5 linked regions of the Oryzias latipes genome follow. The protein of the gene in region 1 interacts with the protein of each later gene in a biochemical or structural test. Links are inferred from orthologs where the notes say so. Each region holds a gene or a part of one and is shown on either strand. Other genes may lie near its edges. The genes, in order: ras-related C3 botulinum toxin substrate 1, rho GTPase-activating protein 32, hace1, pak1 and chn2.

Region 1 (4,388 bases):
ATATGAATAAAATGTATGTGTTTTGGGCCAGTTTTCTACATAAAAAGCCAATCAATAGTACACATCTCTTGAAATTGTTCTTTAAATACACTTTTTTTTTTTTTACAAAAAAATAAAAATAAACTGTATATGAAAAAACACAGGTCTGTATTTTAATTACCAACATTAAAAAAGTCAACGTGTTCACATCTGTATTATTAGTGTTTTTTGCTCAGGCACCACTAACCTTGGCACGGACGTTTTCAAATGAGGCCGGACTCACAAGAGAGAAGCAGATGAGGAACACATCCTGTAAGACAAAGACAAAAAAGGTTCAGAGTCCATGAAATTCATTTCCTGTTGAGCAAAAAATAAATAAAAATAAATAACCTATCGCTAAGGTGGTCTGTTTAACTTTCTTTAAAACCCTCTTCTACATTTGAATACCACAAATGCTCCCAATTAATTATTTATAAAAGTTATCAACTAAATAACACCTTGTCTGACTATTTTTGTCATTGTACCGTCTGTGGGTAAGAAAGTGGGCGGAGTCTGTCGTAGTCTTCTTGTCCAGCTGTATCCCAAAGGCCCAGGTTCACCGGCTTCCCATCCACCATAACATTGGCAGAGTAGTTATCAAACCTGTGAGAATCAAGCATTCATAAAAACTCAGTTATGTCATTCAAGCCTTGCTACATATTTCTGAATTTCTATGATCATTAGATAAATCAAACAGGTTTTTTGGGGGTCAAAAATCAAAGCCTTGTTCATCAGCAGTACATGTTTTCAGCTTGTTCTTGAATCAGAATAAAAGCAGAATGTACATTTATAAATAATCAGAATGAACCAAAGTGTTTTGAGTGACAAATTCCCAAAAAGCCACAGATCCCACAACTAAGAAAATAAACTAGCTGGTTGCACTTCTGGTAATTTTACATAACAAATGCTTCTCTGAACCCAAACAGCTGCCTGTTAAAAAAGAAAGTGACTTCTTATGTACAAGGAAACTAATATTCCCCCATAAGACCAGTTGAAGAAATGAAACAAAGACACAGTTAAGCAACAACTGTCCAGAAGAAGAATGACAGACAGCTTAGCCATTATGAATAAATAAACACTCACACTGTGGGGATGTACTCTCCTGGAAAGGCATTGGTGGTGTAGCTGATGAGTAGACATGTCTTACCCACAGCACTGAATAAGAGAAATGTTATGTTCAGAATTCAGGAAAATAAAACATATACAAGCTGTCATTAAAGTCAGGCTTAAGTTGTTCGATTATTTTACATTTACAAAGCTAAAAACAGTCCAAGCATTTTATTTAATAACATCAAAGTTACTTGAAATAATTACAACCATTAAAAATATAGTTTCAAGTTAAATGTGGACACTACGCAAAGTTTGGTTTTTAACAAACTGAAAGGAGGAAGTCTGAGAGTCACATTATCATCCGTAGGATAAAAGCAGGATCAAAATAATCCAATATCAAAAATCAATAATTGCCAGTTAATCATTTATTATCATCTCGTAGGTAATGTCAGTTTTATTGAAGCACTCCTGATAGAATGAGTGCACTGATTTCAGGAAATAAGGTTTTTTTTTCTCTTCCAGGCTAGTTGATGAGTAAGCAGATATTTTAAACTTTTGAAACTTTAAAGAGAACTGGTGCCTTAGAGTTTCTTCAAGTCGGAACGGAAAACAAAACAAAAGTCGGAGAGGTCGAGGGACGACTCCGCTGCGGTGGGACCAGCCGCACCCTCGACAAGACGTTACAAGTGTGTTTACCTCTAGCATATTACACATCAGTCAGACTTTCAATATTAGCTCATTGACAATCCTGTCTTTAAAATATTGCAAACTAAACCTACTAATTTAACTATTGTGTAACACAAAAACACGCCCGTGTCAATACAACAGAAGAAGAAACAAATTTCAACTCTTCGAAAAAGTACATATAATTTTTGCCCATTTTGTTCAAAAATAACTTCAAAACAAATCTAAGATCAATCTAACTCTATTCACTGATTTTGGCGTAAATAAATAAAAAAATCTGGAACATTGGATCCAGAACGGTAATATCAGGGGAAAAACAAATGCAATACAAAATGTTGTACATTTCGAAAAAAAAAGAAAAGAACTTGAAAGTCCAATATTTAACCGATAACTTGGCTAACTTTACAACTCCAAAAATAAGACGCAACATTTATGTCGAATGACAACTTTTCGACATCACTGGCGGTTTCAGGGTTTGATACCAAAACTGTCGATTAAATGTTAAATATCACAGTGAGTTTAGTTAGGTTCAACTTACCCGTCTCCAACAACGACACACTTTATGGCCTGCATTGCGCCGCAGCTACAGGAATGCTAAGTTAGCCCAGAGCCAGTTAACGTTAGCTCGGATAGCTTGTCCTTTGTCCGCAACTCCTCTCAAGTGAAACTACCCAACAGTCTTTGCTAACAGTCGACCGCGCTAACTCAAAACTTTCTAAACGGAGAACGGCTTGTTAGAAAATAAAGTTGCGGCGACTCAATTCGGACTTTAGGTCAACTAAACTCAGAAATTCCCTGGCAACATTCCCATGCTTTCGTGAGCTGCTCTATGAGTTATGGAGCAAAACAGCGGCCACCACCCCTATAGCTAAAGAGAAAAAAAAATGAAGCCAGCTCTACAAGATAGGGCATCCGGCGCACGCCCACAGACACCTTAACCAAAGAAAAGATAGCCTCAAACTAGTAGTAAAAAAAAGGGTCAGCTACTCTGGTCTTAAATATAAAGCTTAAAGTTATATATAAATAACATTTGAAAACTAAAATATTACATTTTGGTTTAATGAAAACAAAATAAAAGAAATCGTCGAAGACGGAATATTTACGGTGTGACACCTAGGGTGGAACTGACGTCAGTTTTGACGCGTCTACGGTTCATTTACGATTACAATGGAATTTTTGGTGTGTTGTTTAATTTCCCTGAATTATGCCTTTCAGGCTGAAAAAGTTTTTTTGGAGATGGAAGGATAGCTTGCTCTCCCACCCCTACACCACGATAAATTCAATTATACCATACCAGCAAACATGCACTGTATTAAAAAATAAAGTAGTAAAAGAAAAAAAAAGTCAATGTGTGCCTATTCTAATACGACAAAGATATTTAGCTTCAAAAATGTAACACAATCAATGATTAGTTGGTCATTGTATTTCCAAAAAGTCTGTAGTACTTTGCTTCAGTTCAAGATTTTTTGTGTAGTGAACTTCTGGAAAACAAACCAATTTACCTGGTTTTGTAATGGTGCAAAAACAACATATATACATATTTAGTAACTCAAAAAACCTCTTCTATGTTTCTGTTTGTTTAGTTTTATGAGAACCATAGTAGTTGTGTCTAGGACGTGTTTTTTTTTTCCTTAGCCACCACCCAGATCTGGAAGTCCTTTCAGTCTTTACTCGGGGTTTTATTTAATCCTGGTTTTACTGCACTTCCGTGTGTCGCAGCGATGTCTGTCCTCGGTAGAAAACTAACAGGGTGGAGTAGATGCCAGTACAACGGCAGCAAAAGACGGAGCTCGTTGAGGGTGAAAGATAGAAGAATGGAGCTTCATCCAACACTTGCAGCCATTGTAGCGTCCCCTTGCCTGTTGCCTTTGTAAGCCAAGAACACAGCGCTCAGGGTTGGGCTTTTATGGCGAGTCTTTCGTATCTGGTGCTCCGGTTTTCGGGCTCCGCTGGTCGGACTTACGGACTATTCTCCAAAGGCTTGACGAGGACTTTGTTGATATTTTTTGATCTCGCATGGCGGCTGAGAATACGATTCCCCTACTTTTACTTGGTAGCCTCAATGGTGTTTAACGTCAGATTACAGGTAAATGTTTACACACTATTTTCAGACTGACGGTCACGGTGAGCTTGTCACCATGCCAACAACAGCTGTTGGGGGGCCTCGATAGGGAACCTTTGTTCTTATAGTCAGTTAATCCCAGGTTAAATTGATATATAATCTCTACTACGTGCTGTCCCATAAAACTGGGTTCATGAAAATCATCTGTTAATCGGAAAAATAATTTACTGACATTTGATCAATAGTGAAACAAGTTCATATTCACCCATATTTAGTGTTTGTATCTGATCTAAAATAAAAAACAGTAGTCTGTAATGTGTAATCAGTCAGGGGAAACAACAAAATAGATTTTTTCAATCTTAAATATGAAATATTAGCAATAATTGATACTTTTATACCACAGAAATGTAGTATATCAGCTTTTTTCCTTGTCCTTTGAATGTGCAAAATGGAAAATGTGACGTTTTTGTCTTTTTACAGGTCCATATAGAAATCCATTGAGTCTTTAATGCAAACCTTTGGACTTTAAGAAGTGAACGGTAAGACCTCCCATGCTCAAGATGGGCTGACAGTG
Region 2 (3,892 bases), on another chromosome or scaffold:
AGGAGCGCTTTCCACGGCTCCCCGGACTTCTCTGTTGTTAAGTGAATACATATCTGGAAGTTTTCAGTCCTTCCCTGTGTAAAGTGAAGGGCTTGGCCTGCTGTTTCCCTGTGAAACGTTGGCGTCTGCAGATCTAAAGCTCACGCAGAAGACCTTTTTTTTCCTTTTTCAGTCTTAATGGCTGATGAATGTGGGATTCCGTCTGTCCTTGTTTGACCTCATCACTTTGATCCCTGCAGAATTTATGCAAAAAGAAAAAACCTGACCAGAGGAAGAACCACAGCAGCTTTTTACACCAAACTGTTTTTGAAGAAGACGTCCATGAAAATGAGTTGCTTCACTTCAGTGCTGGTTCAGCCGTCTTCCTGTTTCCATGGGTTTCTGGTGTCCTGCTGCTGATGATGTCTGTGGGGTCAGAGGGAGGAGACACATGAGGGATTTTCTGAAGCATTCTCAGTGATGTTTCCTCCAGGTTTATCTGGTCCTTTTGCTTCTCTTCCCATCATCCATCCTCACAGCTCACAGTTTGGTTTTTGAGTAGAAACAATCGAGGAGGCGTGGTTTCGGGGAGGCGGCACTGATCACATGACCACATGCTGTCCGCCTCACGGCACGTTTCCCCCAAAGATGGAGGGTTACAGAAGGTAACATCTGACCTCACAGCGCCACTCAACCGGAACATGTTACATCAGCGCTTCCAGCACTTTTTCATGCAGCGTCTGTTTGTTTGTTTAGAGATACGACTAAAGGGGTGTCCAGTGTAATGACATAGCTGGCTTTCAGTGGTTCCAGGTGCATTGTGGGAGTTCACTTGGTCTGTCTGCTGTAGTAATGTTTGTGTTGGATTATTGAGACTTTTGTTCTTTCTTTACTTGATCATTGGTGTGTTTGTGGGTGCAAGGCAGCCCCCCCCCCCTCAGGGTAGTCAGTAATGACGGCTGACCTTCTGGCCTGTGGCAGAGAGGCAGTGAGGTCAAATGTGGCACATGCGGGTGGGGGTGGGGGGCCACAGGCACAGAAGCTACCCTCCTGCGTCCGGGGTCTCCGCGCCCCCTACTGGTTAATCACCGCGGTGATCAAAAATCCCACACCGTCACAGCTCCACTCACAATGAAATGTCTTCTGACAGGCGGCTCACTCAGCGAGCACACTGACAAACACGGAGCTTCTCCAAACACTCAGCACGTTCCCCTCCAGTGACTTCACACTGCACCTCAGATTTCTGTGGAGCCTTGCTTCTTCTCATTTTACTCTCACTGGTTTCTAAGACAAATGCAGAATGCAAAGGTTGTTTGAAGGTTGGCACGTTTCTCCTCTTTCCTCAGCTCTCACTGGGAGACGAGCAGTGTGAGGTGACCAGGAATGGCCACGAGTCCAAAGAGCTGGTGTACCTGGTGCATATTTACTGCCAGGTAAGACCGCCGAAGATTCCAGCGCTCGCTTCTGTTGGGTTTCCAAGCAGTCAGGTGTTCCAGTAATCTTCCACATCAGCAGTTTGCAGCCCCTTTAGGGTGGTCCGGTCCCCGTTTGGGCTCATCTCATCTCTGACTTGGTTTGAATGGAAGGGAGCTGGGGGGGTGCTGTGTTTGTCAGGACTGCCCCAGTAAAGCAACACTTTTGAAGCTTGATGGTTCTGCTGAGAAGGCGAACTGCAACATTCTGTTCATCTGTTGTGATTGAAGCCAAACCCAAACTTCAGAGGGATGCGGTTCCTCCGGCTGCAGCGGGCTTCCCTCCCCACCCGCTGCTCTGCAGCTTCATCCTGAGCGGCCCGTTCTGAACACATTTCGCTCCACGCAGGTATGCAGCCACGTCCTTGGAAACGGCGGGGCTCCTGCCACAGCCGTGTGGAAAAACCACGTGGCTGAGCTCTAGCGCTGGACGCTGTGCTGAACGCCACAAACCCAGAAAGGCGGGGAAACTGAAAGTGGGGCAGCACTTTAGAAGCGGCGCTGGAAGGAGCGCAGCGGTCTCAGAACGGGACCTGGACTCTGTTCAGACGGATCAGAGCAGCAGACTTTTTCCTCCAACACTTCATCTTTGTGTGGTTTTGACTTTTCTTTAGTGGAGAAAAACGCTTGGAACTTTTTCATCACTACATTTATTTGTGGAGACGCAGAACAACCTGTTTATATGACTAACTTTCCAGACTCAAAGCCAGATTTCAGGGTTCTGCTAGATTCTATTTGAGCAACAACCAGAAAATGGGTGAAATGTTGCAGAAATGTAGCTGTCTGAGGTCTGCTGGGGGTTTCCTTCAGCCCGACCCTCCTCACCTCACTCCCAGCAGCCAACCATCTTCAGAGGGTCTCCAGCAGGCCCTTCTGACAGAGCTGCCTCTGAAAACAGGGCAGGCTTCCCCACAGATGATGGCGGAACCGCACAGATGGAGCAGAAACTGTGTGCCGTCACAGCACTGCTCAGCGCTGAGGAAGGATGAGTTTGAGTTTGGCTCAGCTTTAGGCGGCCTGATCCAGGCGCAGACTGCCTTCTGAAGATGGTCAGGTAGAAGAACTGCATTAAAGATGGCTGAAAAAGAACAAGCTGTGACTCTCACTGGAACATTCCACCTGAAAACCTTCATGTGAATGTGTTTAACGAGGACAGACGTGTTTGTCGTTCTTTCTGCTCACTGGCTTGCCTTCTTGTCTGTGTTCTGCAGGGCCGCAGCTGGATGGTGAAGCGCAGCTATGAGGATTTCCGTGTCCTGGACAAGCACTTGCATCTGTGCATCTATGACCGGCGCTTCTCGCAGCTGCCCGAGCTGCCCCGCCTGGAGAGCCTGACCGACCTGCCAGAGGCAAGGCCGCATGGCGAGGCTCGCACCCGCCTTTCTCAACTTCCTCCTCACTGGAAAGATGTGTTTCCTCCGTTTTCAATAGACCTGTTCGGTCCACGCTGGGAAAACTGAATCTTTAGTCGCAGCCCATCCTCTCCCCCTCTCACCCTCTCATCCTCTCACCCTCTCATCCTCTCACCCTCTCACCCTCTCACCCTCTCATCCTCTCACCCTCTCACCCTCTCATCCTCTCACCCTCTCACCCTCTCACCCTCTCATCCTCTCACCCTCTCACCCTCTCATCCTCTCACCCTCTCTTCCTCTCTTCCTCTCACCCTCTCATCCTCTCACCCTCTCACCCTCTCTTCCTCTCACCCTCTCTTCCTCTCACCCTCTCATCCTCTCACCCTCTCATCCTCTCACCCTCTCATCCTCTCACCCTCTCTTCCTCTCACCCTCTCACCCTCTCATCCTCTCATCCTCTCTCCCTCTCATCCTCTCACCCTCTCACCCTCTCACCCTCTCTTCCTCTCACCCTCTCATCCTCTCACCCTCTCATCCTCTCACCCTCTCTTCCTCTCACCCTCTCATCCTCTCACCCTCTCTTCCTCTCACCCTCTCATCCTCTCTTCCTCTCACCCTCTCATCCTCTCATCCTCTCACCCTCTCACCCTCTCTTCCTCTCACCCTCTCATCCTCTCACCCTCTCATCCTCTCACCCTCTCATCCTCTCACCCTCTCATCCTCTCACCCTCTCACCCTCTCATCCTCTCACCCTCTCACCCTCTCTTCCTCTCTTCCTCTCACACTCTCACCCTCTCACCCTCTCTTCCTCTCACCCTCTCATCCTCTCTCCCTCTCATCCTCTCACCCTCTCACCCTCAATTCCTCTCACCCTCTCTTCCTCTCACCCTCTCATCCTCTCATCCTCTCTCCCTCTCACCCTCTCGTCCTCTCACCCTCTCTTCCTCTCACCCTCTCATCCTCTCACCCTCTCACCCTCTCACCCTCTCTTCCTCTCACCCTCTCATCCTCTCACCCTCTCACCGTCTCTTCCTCTCACCTTCTCATCCTCTCACCCTCTCATCCTCTCACCCTCTCTTCCTCTCACCC
Region 3 (3,892 bases), on another chromosome or scaffold:
GAAACTCATGTGTTTACTTTTTCCGTTATTTTTCTACAAGCAGAAACTCTTTCTTTTGATGATGCAGCCGTATTAATTTGATGGGCGTATAATCTTCATACGCCGTCATAAAAATCTCCGACTCCGTCTCACTGGAGGGTTACCAAATCGAGCGTGATTACGCTAATTCATATCTGGTCTTTTGGAACAGACATACCCAGAGTAAGCAAGTTCAGGTGGATTTCAGCCAGAGTTCAGGGTTAAAGTCAGGGTAGTTTAAACATGCTTCCTGGAAAAAAAACCCAGGCCTCAAGGGCTGCATTCCTGCATGTTTTCATTATATTCTGCTCTGGCATGTTTCCATTGGCTGGACACTCCTGAAACAGGTCATCCGTCATGAGTAGGGTGAGCGGAAAGCTCAGCACTGAAGAAGCCGTACAGCTGAGGTAGCCAAGCTCAAGCAGACACCACAGGCAGTGCGGCCTCGGCCAGATCTTTGGTTTGACGAACAATGTCCAAGAGGTCTTGGCGGTTGTAGATCTGCTTTACAGGGGACCTTTAGCAGGATGCTTACAAAAACGAGGAGTTCTCCTAAAACAACAATATTGTACCGCTGTATACGTGGACGCCGCAATCATGTGATGTGGCATAATCATGCTAAGTATTAACTCTGGTCTCATCCTTGTTTTCTAGGGTCAGGGCGTGGTGCGGGAGTGGTTTGACATTCTGTCCAGTGAGATCATTAATCCAGACTATGCCCTGTTCACACAGTCCGCTGATGGTATGTGGACCCCCCCGCCCCAGAGAATCCAACATGAAGCTTCGTTTTGCTGAGATGAGCTTGTTTGTGTCCTTCACAGGTACAACGTTTCAGCCCAACAGCAACTCCTCTGTTAATCCTGATCATCTGAACTACTTCCAGTTTGCTGGTCAGATTCTCGGCCTGGCTCTGTACCACCGGCAGCTGGTCAACATCTACTTCACCCGCTCCTTCTACAAACACATCCTGGGTTAGACCACCGACCTGTGTGTGAATATTACCCTGCCTCTTTCAAGAAGTAAATGCTGTTGACCAATGGAAGTTTCAGTGAGACCCTAGTCACCTTCAGAAAGTTTGACTTCTATCAAGCTGACTCAGTGTGATTTAAAAAAAATCTTCCTTTGTGTCTGATAACATTCAATCATCTCATCTTTCACCCAAAGAACCTGAACACTAGATTTCTTTAAAGACCCACTCCAGTGAAAGTGGTGTTTTTGCCGTTTTTAACATGTTTTTGTAGCATTTTTCTCATAATAGAAGACATGTATAAAGGACATGAAAAGTCTTGCTTCCTCTGCTCCAATTCTAAATTCTCCGCCTGCAGACCATGAATGTCTTCATTTCCTCATCTGAGCTGTAGTGTGGCTCTAAACTGTGCGGCTGGATAGCTTTGATATTGGGCTGGAGTTGTTACACTGACGTTAGCTTGGGCTTGTGAGGAGCGTGTCGCTAGCGAGAGTGTGAACAGGGGCATGCTGGGAAATTAGCGAAAGGCTAACTTCTGCTCCAAGAAGTGCAGCTTTGCAGAAAGTATGTGTTAAAAACAACACAGGCTCTTTGATTTTAGCTAAAAACAGCAGCATCATAACTAAAAGACCACTGGGAACGATTTTCCAATAGAAAACAATAGAGTTGGAGTGAGTCTTTAAACCTACATTTGGTAATTTCCTACACATGCCGCAAGACTTTGGACATTTGTCCTTATCGATTGCTGACTTTTGTTTGTGTCCTATCAACATCGAAGGAGATTAAAAGTCTGCTTTCACTGTCATGAAGAATATGGCACAGTGGTGAGCTCAATCGTTAGCTGTGGTTTCTGACTTTACTACCCATGCTGGCGTCATCGTCAGAAGGAAGTGAAGACATTAGGCACATTTGAAAGGTTGGACTGACGACATGCACGTTTGATCCTCTAAGCTTGATGTGTGACGACGGCTTGATGGTGAAACTTGTTCAAAGTCAGAGCGGTTGGCCAAAGTTGTGTGGAATCACACAAACAAGGTTTCTCATGTGAGGTTTGTGCATTCTCAGGAATCCCTGTGAGCTACCAGGATGTGTCGTCCATTGACCCAGAGTACGCCAAGAACCTGCAATGGATCCTGGACAATGACATTAGCGATCTGGGCCTGGAGCTCACCTTCTCTGTTGAAACGGATGTGTTTGGAGCCATGGAGGAAGTGCCTCTCAAAGCTGGGGGAACAACTACCCTGGTCACTCAGGAAAACAAGGTGAGTGAAGACCTGAGGTAGCGTTAAAGGGCCTTCAGTGAGTCTCCTTGGTTTGTAGGAGAAAGCTCAATGTGACTGAAATATGACCAAGCAGACAAAAAGCTGAGCAAAAGTAAAAGTTTCTTTATTTTCTTTTAGGTCTGCATTAGAAATGTGTCCCTCAAAGACAGATGCTCTTAGGGAGAGTTCCTTTCTCCATTTTTCTCTACATTCACCGTTCTTGAGTTTAGATCTGAATAGTAAAAAATAGTTTCTTCTTCTGTTCAGGGAACTTTAACAGGTTGTTTCTTCAGTTAATTTAATAGTTAACTAGTTTCCAGGTTAGACAATAGGGACCGGGCTCAGTGACGTAAGCTATCCAGAGGTTTGTAAAATCGGAGGCATAATACGTTAGCGGTTTGTGGGTAAACCTTGTTTCTTTCTCTTGAACTTCATATGTTTAAAGGTTGTGGAGGAGTAATTCGGGTTTCAGGTTTTATTCTTTCCCTGTGATGCATTTCTCCCGATTTGACCTGACTGACCACAGAAACCAGACCAAGTCCTGGAGCTAAAACCTTTGATGTTGAAATTCTGTTTTAGACGGTTTTGTACGTCCTGGCAGTGTGTGGAGGGTTAGGTCTGTAAATTACTTCATGTGAACCCCCAACCCTGAATGATTAGGGGGAAATTTGTAGGTATTATGTATCTCTAGAAATGTGGCTATAGGGGGGGATCAAATGGCCTTCTCCTACAGAAAAGCAAGAGTTCTGAAAAAATAAAAATTAAATAAAAAATACTTTCTGTTAAGGGTATATTCCTGCAGGTGGCGCTGTTATACAAAACTTCAGACATCTACAGTAGATAGCTGTAGCAGGCACAAGCCAGAGTTTGACGAGGACTCTGATCTGTTCCCTCTCAGGCCGAGTATGTGCAGCTGGTGACAGAACTGAGGATGACGCGCGCCATCCAGCCACAGATAAATGCATTCCTGCGGGGGTTTCACACCTTCATTCCCCCCTCCCTCATTCAACTGTTCGATGAATATGAATTGGTACGTCTTCCTGTGCCCTCACCTCATCTGTCACTATATTGTCTTTTTCCTTTTCTTCCTTCCATCATATCAGCCCCTCAGATCTTCTCTGGGCTTCAAAGGGGGCTTTAGCTCTATGCAGGGCTTTTTTCTGCAGGTGCTGGCAGAGTCCAACTCTTTGCTAGATTGTGGATGGCTTCCAGAGGGAAACGGATGACTTCATGAGGTCATTTTGTTTCTTTTTCTATCTTTTCCTGTCCAGCAGCTGAGCAGATTAGAGCTAAAAGCCTTTAGGGCTGGACAGATTTTACTGTTATAGTAGGGGATTAAGTCTCACGCGTGGGTTTTCTCCGGGATCTCCGGCTTCCTCCCACTGTCCAGAAACATGCTTCATGGGTTATTTGGCAACTCTAAATTGTCCATAGGTGTGAGTGTGAGAGTGAATGGGTGTGTGACTGTGGACGTTCTACCCTGCGACAGACTGGCGACCTGTCCAGGGCATCCCCTGCCTACGCCCAAGTAGCCGGGATAGGCTCCGGCAGCCCCGTGACCCCGAAAGGGACAAAGCGGTACAGAAAATGAATGAATGAATGAGTAGGGGATTATGAATCTTCTGACACGCGAGGTGTAGATTTG
Region 4 (2,931 bases), on another chromosome or scaffold:
TTAGGTATTGGCTGAATGCCGTAGGTGTTTTTAAGTCAATGTGTCACTGGAGGAATCATCTTATTACCTAAAATACTACACAAAAAGCTTTGTTTTTGGTTGAACTTACTGATATCCATTTGAATCATTTTATTTGTCTTTTTTTTTCTAGAAATCCTCTTAAAAACATTTAAAAATGACTTTAAATCAGCTTTTCACACTGACCTCCCAAAAGCCAGCATTTTTCCTGATCCAGAGGATTCTGAAGAGGATAAAGGCCTCAGCCTATAAAATTGAGCAAAACTGCCCTAAAAACCCCCATCTGCCCAAAAAAAACCCCATCCGCCCCCTCTGTGAGCAGCGCCGAGATTCTATGTCCAAACTCCATCCATCAGTGGCTCTGGGCGCAGCCGCGTTCAGACAAAACTAAACCTCTCCGGATATACACCTAAACCTACAGGAGGTGATGCTGCGGGCAGCAAGGGACCAACACGTGCGTTACCGTGACAACAGATAAAAGTACCTACAGCTTCACCGACTAAAAGCTCTCGCACACGCACACGTAAAGGCTGGCTGTGCTGGACCGGGACGCCGTTTCACTTCTTTGGGCTCCGTTGAGATGTTCTGTTCCACAGCGATCTGAAGTTCATCCTTCGTTCTCCCCAGGAGATGTGCAGGAGGGGGGGGGGTCAAGACTCAGGGGTCAAAGGTAAGAGTGGAGGAAAATAACAGTCGAAGCAACTTTACAAAAAACAAAGACGGAAGGCGTTTGAAGAACGTCATAATCCAGCCAGAAGCACATACAACGCCACCTTCCTGTGAACGACGCCGGACGCCAGGAGGAGGTGGGGGAGAAAAACAAAGCTAGCTAGCTAGCTAGCGGTTGTTCTTGGCTGCCTCCTTGGCTGCGAGAATCAGGGGGGTGAGGCTGGAAAGAGGCTTCGCCATCTTCAGAAACTGATGCTGTGAGAAGAACACCGGGAACCCAGGGAGGGCAAAGGTGGTGAAAGGAGTCGGGGCGCAAAGGATGAAAGGATGCAGGAAGGGGGGGAGAAAGAGAAGAGATAAAACAGCAGGTTGATCAAGGGTCTGTGAGATATGAAGCTAAAGAAATATTAAAATATATAAATGGTCAAATACTACAATAGGAAAATTGTAATTTAATTTATTATAATAAGTATATGTGCTGAATTTCAGGTAAATAAATTAGCTCATTAAAATTTTTAAACAGAAATTATTTGTCAAAATAGTTTCATGATCAACATTGATCTCTTGTGTAAGTGTGCTGGAATCCTCTATAACAATCTTAATGTTCTGCTTTCTTTTATTTTACTTCAAGTCTTTTTTTAAACATTTTCATTTATTAAAAGTGTAAAATGACCGATATGTTTTTCTTAAGGCCTTAAAATGGTGACAGTGGAGCGTATTTGACTAAACTTTGGTCCGTTTCATAACATTTCTGTTTGTTTCTGTACTGTGAAAAAGGATTTTCTTAGCGCGGGTTTACCTGCAGGAGCTCTTTAGCAGAGCCTCTCTTCTCCACGTCCATCTCCAGACATCGGTTTAAGAAGTCTCTGAATATCGTTGACAGCTTCTCTGGATTCTGCAGCTCTGGGGTCCCGTTGGTTGCAATAAGATAAAGCGCCTGCAAAACAGAAAAAAGGATATTTTCCTCCCTTAGAGAGCTGGACAGTGAAAAAGAGATCCAGAGAGGTGCTTTGGTGCCATCTAGTGGCAGTTTAAGAGGCAGAAATCCCACAAAAACTACCCTTAAGGTCACAGTGTTCTTCAGCATGTCCATCGTAACGAATAAAGCGTTTTTATTTTGAATTTCAAACTGCAAAAATGGCATATGCATATTGTTATATATGCATATATTATGTATACTTCTAATTTTGGCTAATGAATCACTTATTAGCTGTTTAGACGTTTTTGTTTTGAGGATTCTGGTCTGTACCAACCCCCTAAAGGAAGCGCTGATAGGCATAAAAATAGGATTTAGAATCATTTTTTTAGGACAAAAGTTATTAAATGCTTAAAAATAAAATAAACCAGATAACAAGTAACAATTTTCAATCAAAATATGTAAGAATAAAACAGTCAGATCCAGACATAAAGCCCTCAGTGCAGCTAAAAGCGAGTTAAACAAAACCTCACAACGATGCTGATTTACAAACTCCTAAACCAAAACCAGAAGAAAGTGTTGACTAACCTCAAATGGACTTACAGAAGATTAAAAATCTTTCTGGTTAACATAAATAAAAATCCTAAAAGTGAAAAAAGAAAACGTTTGAAGACTCTCCTTCATCCAGGATGGATCCATAGCAGAAAGAAAGATTTAAAAAGAATCCATCAGGATTTAGCTTTTTAGGTTGAAGACGAAAACCTTTTTGTTTAAAAAAAAAAATCAATCAAACTCACTCTAAGAGGATTCTCATTTAAGTATGGTGGCTCTCCTTCAACCATCTCGATGGCCATGATGCCCAAAGACCAAATGTCCACTTTGGGGCAGTACGCTTTGCGAGTCACGACCTCCGGAGCCATCCAGTATGGAGTCCCCACCATGGTGCTGCGCTTGCTCTGCTCCGGCGTGATCTGAGCGCAGAAGCCAAAGTCAGCTGGAAGAGGCGAAAGGAGAAGAATTAGTGAGTTCACCTTTTGGAGAACAAATCTGCTGTTTATTCTGGAACAGATCTAGAAACCAAAAGGCCACTGACTGAGTTTGACAGAGCCGTCCATGCCCAGCAGGATGTTGTCGCTCTTGATGTCCCGATGGATGACCTGGTTGGAGTGAAGGAACTCCAGGGCCTGAAGACACTGAACAGGAAGTAGAGTAACCCTCCTACCCATGAGGCACCAAAACAACAAACACTTTTGATAGTAAAGCCTTAGACACATGCACCCAAACAGGGTCGTTGACCCTTAAGCTATGTTCACACCGGGCATGTGATT
Region 5 (4,520 bases), on another chromosome or scaffold:
TCTTTCCTCTCAGCAAAAAGGCCCTGGCTCACGTCCCAGCTTAGATCTGGGTTCAAGTCCCTTACGGGGTTTGAATCTTCTTCCCATATATGTGTGGTTTTCTCCAGTCACCTCCCACAGTTCAAAATATGCCTCATGGGCTAACTATTTACTCTAAAATGGGAGTGATTGTGTGCAATCTTGTGATCCTGAAAGGGGTGTTGTGGGTTAAGAAAATCAGTAGAGAATTTATCCAAACAGTGGTGTATTTTTTTCTTGTGTCTTCACAACGTTCACACCTTTTTTTGTCACGACTGACCACACCATCTTAAAATGCATCTACATCCATGCTCAAGGAGCGTTTTTATCGGCGGTCAAGTATATGTGTTTGTCTGATCGTGTTCAGATTGTACTGAAACCAATTTCAATGCCAGTGGAAGCTGTGCATGTAACACATACATGAATCTGACTCTATGTGCCAAATTCAAGTGACGCTAAAAATGTTTTATTGTGGCCTGTCAGTTTTGATAATGTGCTAGTGAGCTAATAACTTTATAATGACAAAACCTCAGAAAAGAGGAACCAAGAGTATAGTTACATTACTCTGTTAAAGAGATACCTACTAATGATTAAATGCAGAAATAAATAAAGTTTGCTTTTTTTAAGTTAAACGTTTTCCCACAGTGCAGGGGGAAGGGGGAAGGGGGAAAAGATGAAGAAGATGGTCATGCTGAAAAAAAGAGTCAGGTTGCAATGCTTTCAGAAAGGGAATTGGTCATTTATTTAAAAATGTTTTCTGTTCTAGAGATTTTCAAAGTAATTCATATTGGCCTACCTATTATATTGTAGGCAACTAAGTAAAGAATATTTGCCTTTTAAAATAAGAATTATTGGCGACTTGAAAGTGCAACTGTTCTGCACAACTTGCTCAAAGTCAGACTGGAGAAGACAAAAATTGTGAACTGATATTATGTCAAATGTGACATTTCAAAAATGACCACATCCATACCTTTTGAACATTAAGTTCTAGAAAGTGGATTTACTTCAATTCACTTATACTTCAAATAAAAGATCCCCAAAAGAGAAAAAAAAAACTGTTTGTGAACCAGATTGCTTGCTGTGAAACCGTTCATGTGCATTTGTGATTTTTTTTTTTACGTGTTTGCATAAATATATTTGTGATCCGGAGCGTGTGCATTTGTGAAACAGCTTCTGTGCATTTCCAGAATATGAGAGTGAGCTGGCCTAACAGTAAAGAGTCCACAGTTTTTTTGGCCTAGTCTTCAATTATAGATATTTATTCTCAAATAAAGTGAAATAAATGTTTGGGCTTCTTTTGAAAGGATTCCTTGGTTCTCTTTCCCAATTCTTTCATCAATCCACCAGATGGCGCGTAAACATCACCCATAGGGCGCTTTTAACGCAAAGTAGAATGTTATGACATTTGGAAAAAAATGTCATGCAGTTCAGGAACTGATCACACGTGGTTTGGCTGGTTGAACGAATCATTCATTTAACAGGAGAAGACACTGTAACAGTCTGGGATTCTTGCAGACTGAGGTAGGTCGGTTGTTTGTTTTCCGTTTGTCTGCACAGCTCCAAACTTTCTCTTTAAGGCGCGTCGACGCGGTGGTGCGTAAATTAACAAATATTCCATACAAGCGGCGCACATGGGAACCATGGCGCCTGTCCGCGGCAGAGACCCAAGCGTTTTCTTTTGAGTGTCAAGAAAAGCCGAATAATCAACCAAACGTATCCCTGCAGCCTGTCTACTCTCCTGCGTCTGCAGCGTCAGTGAATGCGGCAGCGGCTGCACGCTGAGGCGCACAGCGATCCGAGCCGAAGGGATCCTTCAAACGGAGGGGATCAGGATGAGAGGAAACATCAAGTGATCTGGGGTGAAACGGACTGACATGGAGGCACCGCCGCACCCGAGCTGTGAGCCTACTTTGGCCAAACGGGAGTGACCAAGGCGCAAAACTCACTGGTTGGGATGGCAGCATCCAGCAACTCCAGCCTCTCAGGTTCATCCATGTCCTCTGGTAAGAGTTAACTAATCTAATTGAGGATTAAATCTGAATTTATTTGTTTAAATTAAAATCTACTTAGATGCTTTTGTTATTTCAGATTACATGTATTACTACTTGCTTCATTTGCTGTTACCAAACTTCTACATTGTGTTACATAAAGTCATTCAAATGCTTTATTTACTTGGGATTAAAAGAAAAAGAAGAACATTGAAATTTCCTTTAAATGTCCCACAAATGCACATCTCTTCGCACAATCTTTGGAGAATCATGGAAAAGCATTTGGTCTCAGAAATAACTGGTATCAGCAGTGGATTGACCAGTGTTGGAGACTGGATGGGAACATTGAGGAAGGCTTTTGAGTGTTTGTTATCCTTGAACCGCCAATCTTATTGACCTTCTACCTGCTTGACTGCCATTTTTTTTTTTTTTTTACAAACGCACCAGAGTGAGATGTTCTCTGAAGACGAAAAAATCTGGAATGCAGTTTTGGAGTGACATCAGACAATTTAAAGTGCTGAAGTGAGCACAAAACTCCTGTTGAATCTTCTAGCATGGAAGGCACAGGCCAATGTGAGACTTTGCTGCTGTTTCCCCAGGTGCATTACAGTGCAGACACACTGTGCAAAATTCTGATCTAAAATGTGACTCTGGCCTTCACAGAATGAAGGGAAAAAAATTTGGATCAGCTACCCAAATAGAAACTTTCTTTTGGTTCAGTGAGCTGCTCACGATTGCCAGGATAATGTCAAAACTCAGTAGCGGTGAGATATTTTTTTTTTTTTGTGGGATGATAAGAAAGGAAATGTCACATTAAAGCACACACATAGTTTTTGAGTTTGATATTTCTAGGAAAAGCTGGATGTGGGAGTTTGGTAGGGAGAAGGATATGAGGGTAAAAAAACACAGTGTTTGTTTTACTGTCTCTGCATCCCAGCCAGGCCACATTACAGCGTCACATTTCCCAAGGTGCTGCCCATGTGGGCGGGACAGACAATCATTTCCAAGCTCATCCAGCCTGTGGTAACCACATGCCTCACAAAACATTATATCATGTGTGCATTTTCAGAAAGCCGCATTTGACCACTGCTGCTTTGAGAAGAAAGTCTTGTCTATCTGCGGCCCGAGAGAGTTGTCATTACAGTTGGACTTGCAATGTAATTATCAGGGGTTACAAGATGCAGTGCTGCCAGATTTGGAGTAATTGTCGCAGGGGTGTTATTATTTCTGTGCAGAGCTCTTTTGGAAAAAGACACAACATTTCAATAATCTCGTCTATGAGGCATATCATTCTAACGTGAATTTCGTGGGGGCTTCTTATTTGGAGAATTGTACAGAAACAAAGTTCATTCATTAAATTTGCCCCCATGCCTCTGATTGTTCTCACAATAATTAGTTTAGGGAAGTAAACATTGATTTATTGATGTTTCCTCCAATTTTTTTTCACTGCTATAAATTCTTCTGGCAGCATTCATCCCTTTTGTTTCTGAGCGATTAGGTTTACTGGCTGCTTTTGGAGCACAGAGATGTTCCTGCATGTTCTTGCAACGTAAATGCATAACAGGATGTGTCACTTTGCAGATCCCTTTAGAAGGAGGAAGGTAGTAGAAAATCAAAGGGACATGGCTTGAACTGTACAGCTTCTTTGACCTTAATAAAAAAAACTAATCGGAGGAACAGAGTTCCAGCCATGTACTTACATAGATGCTGTTTGCTAAACAGGATTTTGCAAATGTTTCTTGTAAATGTTGCAATTTGCCTCAACATGTTTTCATCCTAGGATCCATTTTTCTTTATCCCCTTCAGGGCTGAAGGGGTGTGTGTTTGTGTGTGTGTGTGTGTGGGGGGGGGGGGGGGGGGGTAGTAGACAGGTTGCCAGTCCTACCGAGGACATGTCAGTTTTTCTTGCTCTGCAGGGTAATTCATAAAGGGCTGCATGTTTGTCACACACACAGAGCTGGAGAATTGTCACTAATATGATTGGTTGCATCAATGGCAGAAAAAGCATGTTCTGTACAGAATTTACACAGTGTGTTCTCATTCCTGATCCCTAAGGTTTTTCCTTTTCTTGTTTTTTTTTTTTTTTATTGGCTGAATCAAACAAGCTCACCCCTGAAAGACAGCCTCACACCTGTCATATATTATCTGGTCAGCTGACGCTAGCCAAAAAAAATGTTCTAAAATGATATTTTCTATGCTGCTGTCATTCCTGTTTGTATGCATGTACCCAAGGGTAATCAAAATGTACACCCAGTGTATCTATCTCTGCACATCTGTTATACACTGAAGTACATGGGGAAGACAGGAAAATACCAATAACACAGCATTTTGTATTAATACACTGGCACTAAGGCCAAATATTTGTTGATAAACATATTTCTCTGCTAGAACAAAGAACTGGGATAAATCATGAAACAGTTGTATTGCCTTATTGTTGGCTCTGTGAGCCATATATCACATTGTGTCAGTCTATCATTTTAAATTCTATACAGTAGCATCACAGATATTTTTTGC

The links.
Region 2: of the proteins of ras-related C3 botulinum toxin substrate 1 (region 1) and rho GTPase-activating protein 32, one has a biochemical effect on the other in vitro, tested with the Homo sapiens proteins (3 studies listed by BioGRID). The link is inferred for Oryzias latipes from reciprocal best matches to the Homo sapiens genes RAC1 and ARHGAP32.
Region 3: of the proteins of ras-related C3 botulinum toxin substrate 1 (region 1) and hace1, one has a biochemical effect on the other in vitro, tested with the Homo sapiens proteins (5 studies listed by BioGRID and IntAct, with this or other methods). The link is inferred for Oryzias latipes from reciprocal best matches to the Homo sapiens genes RAC1 and HACE1.
Region 4: the proteins of ras-related C3 botulinum toxin substrate 1 (region 1) and pak1 form a complex in vitro, tested with the Homo sapiens proteins (17 studies listed by BioGRID and IntAct). The link is inferred for Oryzias latipes from reciprocal best matches to the Homo sapiens genes RAC1 and PAK1.
Region 5: the proteins of ras-related C3 botulinum toxin substrate 1 (region 1) and chn2 form a complex in vitro, tested with the Homo sapiens proteins (2 studies listed by BioGRID). The link is inferred for Oryzias latipes from reciprocal best matches to the Homo sapiens genes RAC1 and CHN2.

Annotation. Positions count from the first base shown.
Region 1 is NC_019866.2:11,732,765-11,737,152, forward strand, and holds the start of ras-related C3 botulinum toxin substrate 1, read right to left. Parts: upstream 2,874-4,388; 5' UTR 2,326-2,873; coding exon 2,291-2,325; intron 1,174-2,290; coding exon 1,102-1,173; intron 622-1,101; coding exon 504-621; intron 290-503; coding exon 227-289; intron 1-226. UniProt on the Homo sapiens protein: Plasma membrane-associated small GTPase which cycles between active GTP-bound and inactive GDP-bound states.
Region 2 is NC_019872.2:1,908,420-1,912,311, forward strand, and holds part of rho GTPase-activating protein 32, read left to right. Parts: intron 1-1,325; coding exon 1,326-1,412; intron 1,413-2,662; coding exon 2,663-2,800; intron 2,801-3,892. UniProt on the Homo sapiens protein: GTPase-activating protein (GAP) promoting GTP hydrolysis on RHOA, CDC42 and RAC1 small GTPases. May be involved in the differentiation of neuronal cells during the formation of neurite extensions.
Region 3 is NC_019874.2:9,386,933-9,390,824, reverse strand, and holds part of hace1 (E3 ubiquitin-protein ligase HACE1), read left to right. Parts: intron 1-672; coding exon 673-760; intron 761-839; coding exon 840-989; intron 990-2,050; coding exon 2,051-2,247; intron 2,248-3,145; coding exon 3,146-3,277; intron 3,278-3,892. UniProt on the Homo sapiens protein: E3 ubiquitin-protein ligase involved in Golgi membrane fusion and regulation of small GTPases. Acts as a regulator of Golgi membrane dynamics during the cell cycle: recruited to Golgi membrane by Rab proteins and regulates postmitotic Golgi membrane fusion.
Region 4 is NC_019871.2:4,551,932-4,554,862, reverse strand, and holds part of pak1 (serine/threonine-protein kinase PAK 1), read right to left. Parts: intron 2,797-2,931; coding exon 2,697-2,796; intron 2,598-2,696; coding exon 2,401-2,597; intron 1,625-2,400; coding exon 1,487-1,624; intron 943-1,486; coding exon 856-942; 3' UTR 1-855. UniProt on the Homo sapiens protein: Protein kinase involved in intracellular signaling pathways downstream of integrins and receptor-type kinases that plays an important role in cytoskeleton dynamics, in cell adhesion, migration, proliferation, apoptosis, mitosis, and in vesicle-mediated transport processes.
Region 5 is NC_019874.2:16,128,309-16,132,828, reverse strand, and holds the start of chn2 (beta-chimaerin), read left to right. Parts: upstream 1-1,421; 5' UTR 1,422-1,539; intron 1,540-1,572; exon of another isoform or gene 1,573-1,743; 5' UTR 1,744-1,972; coding exon 1,973-2,021; intron 2,022-4,520.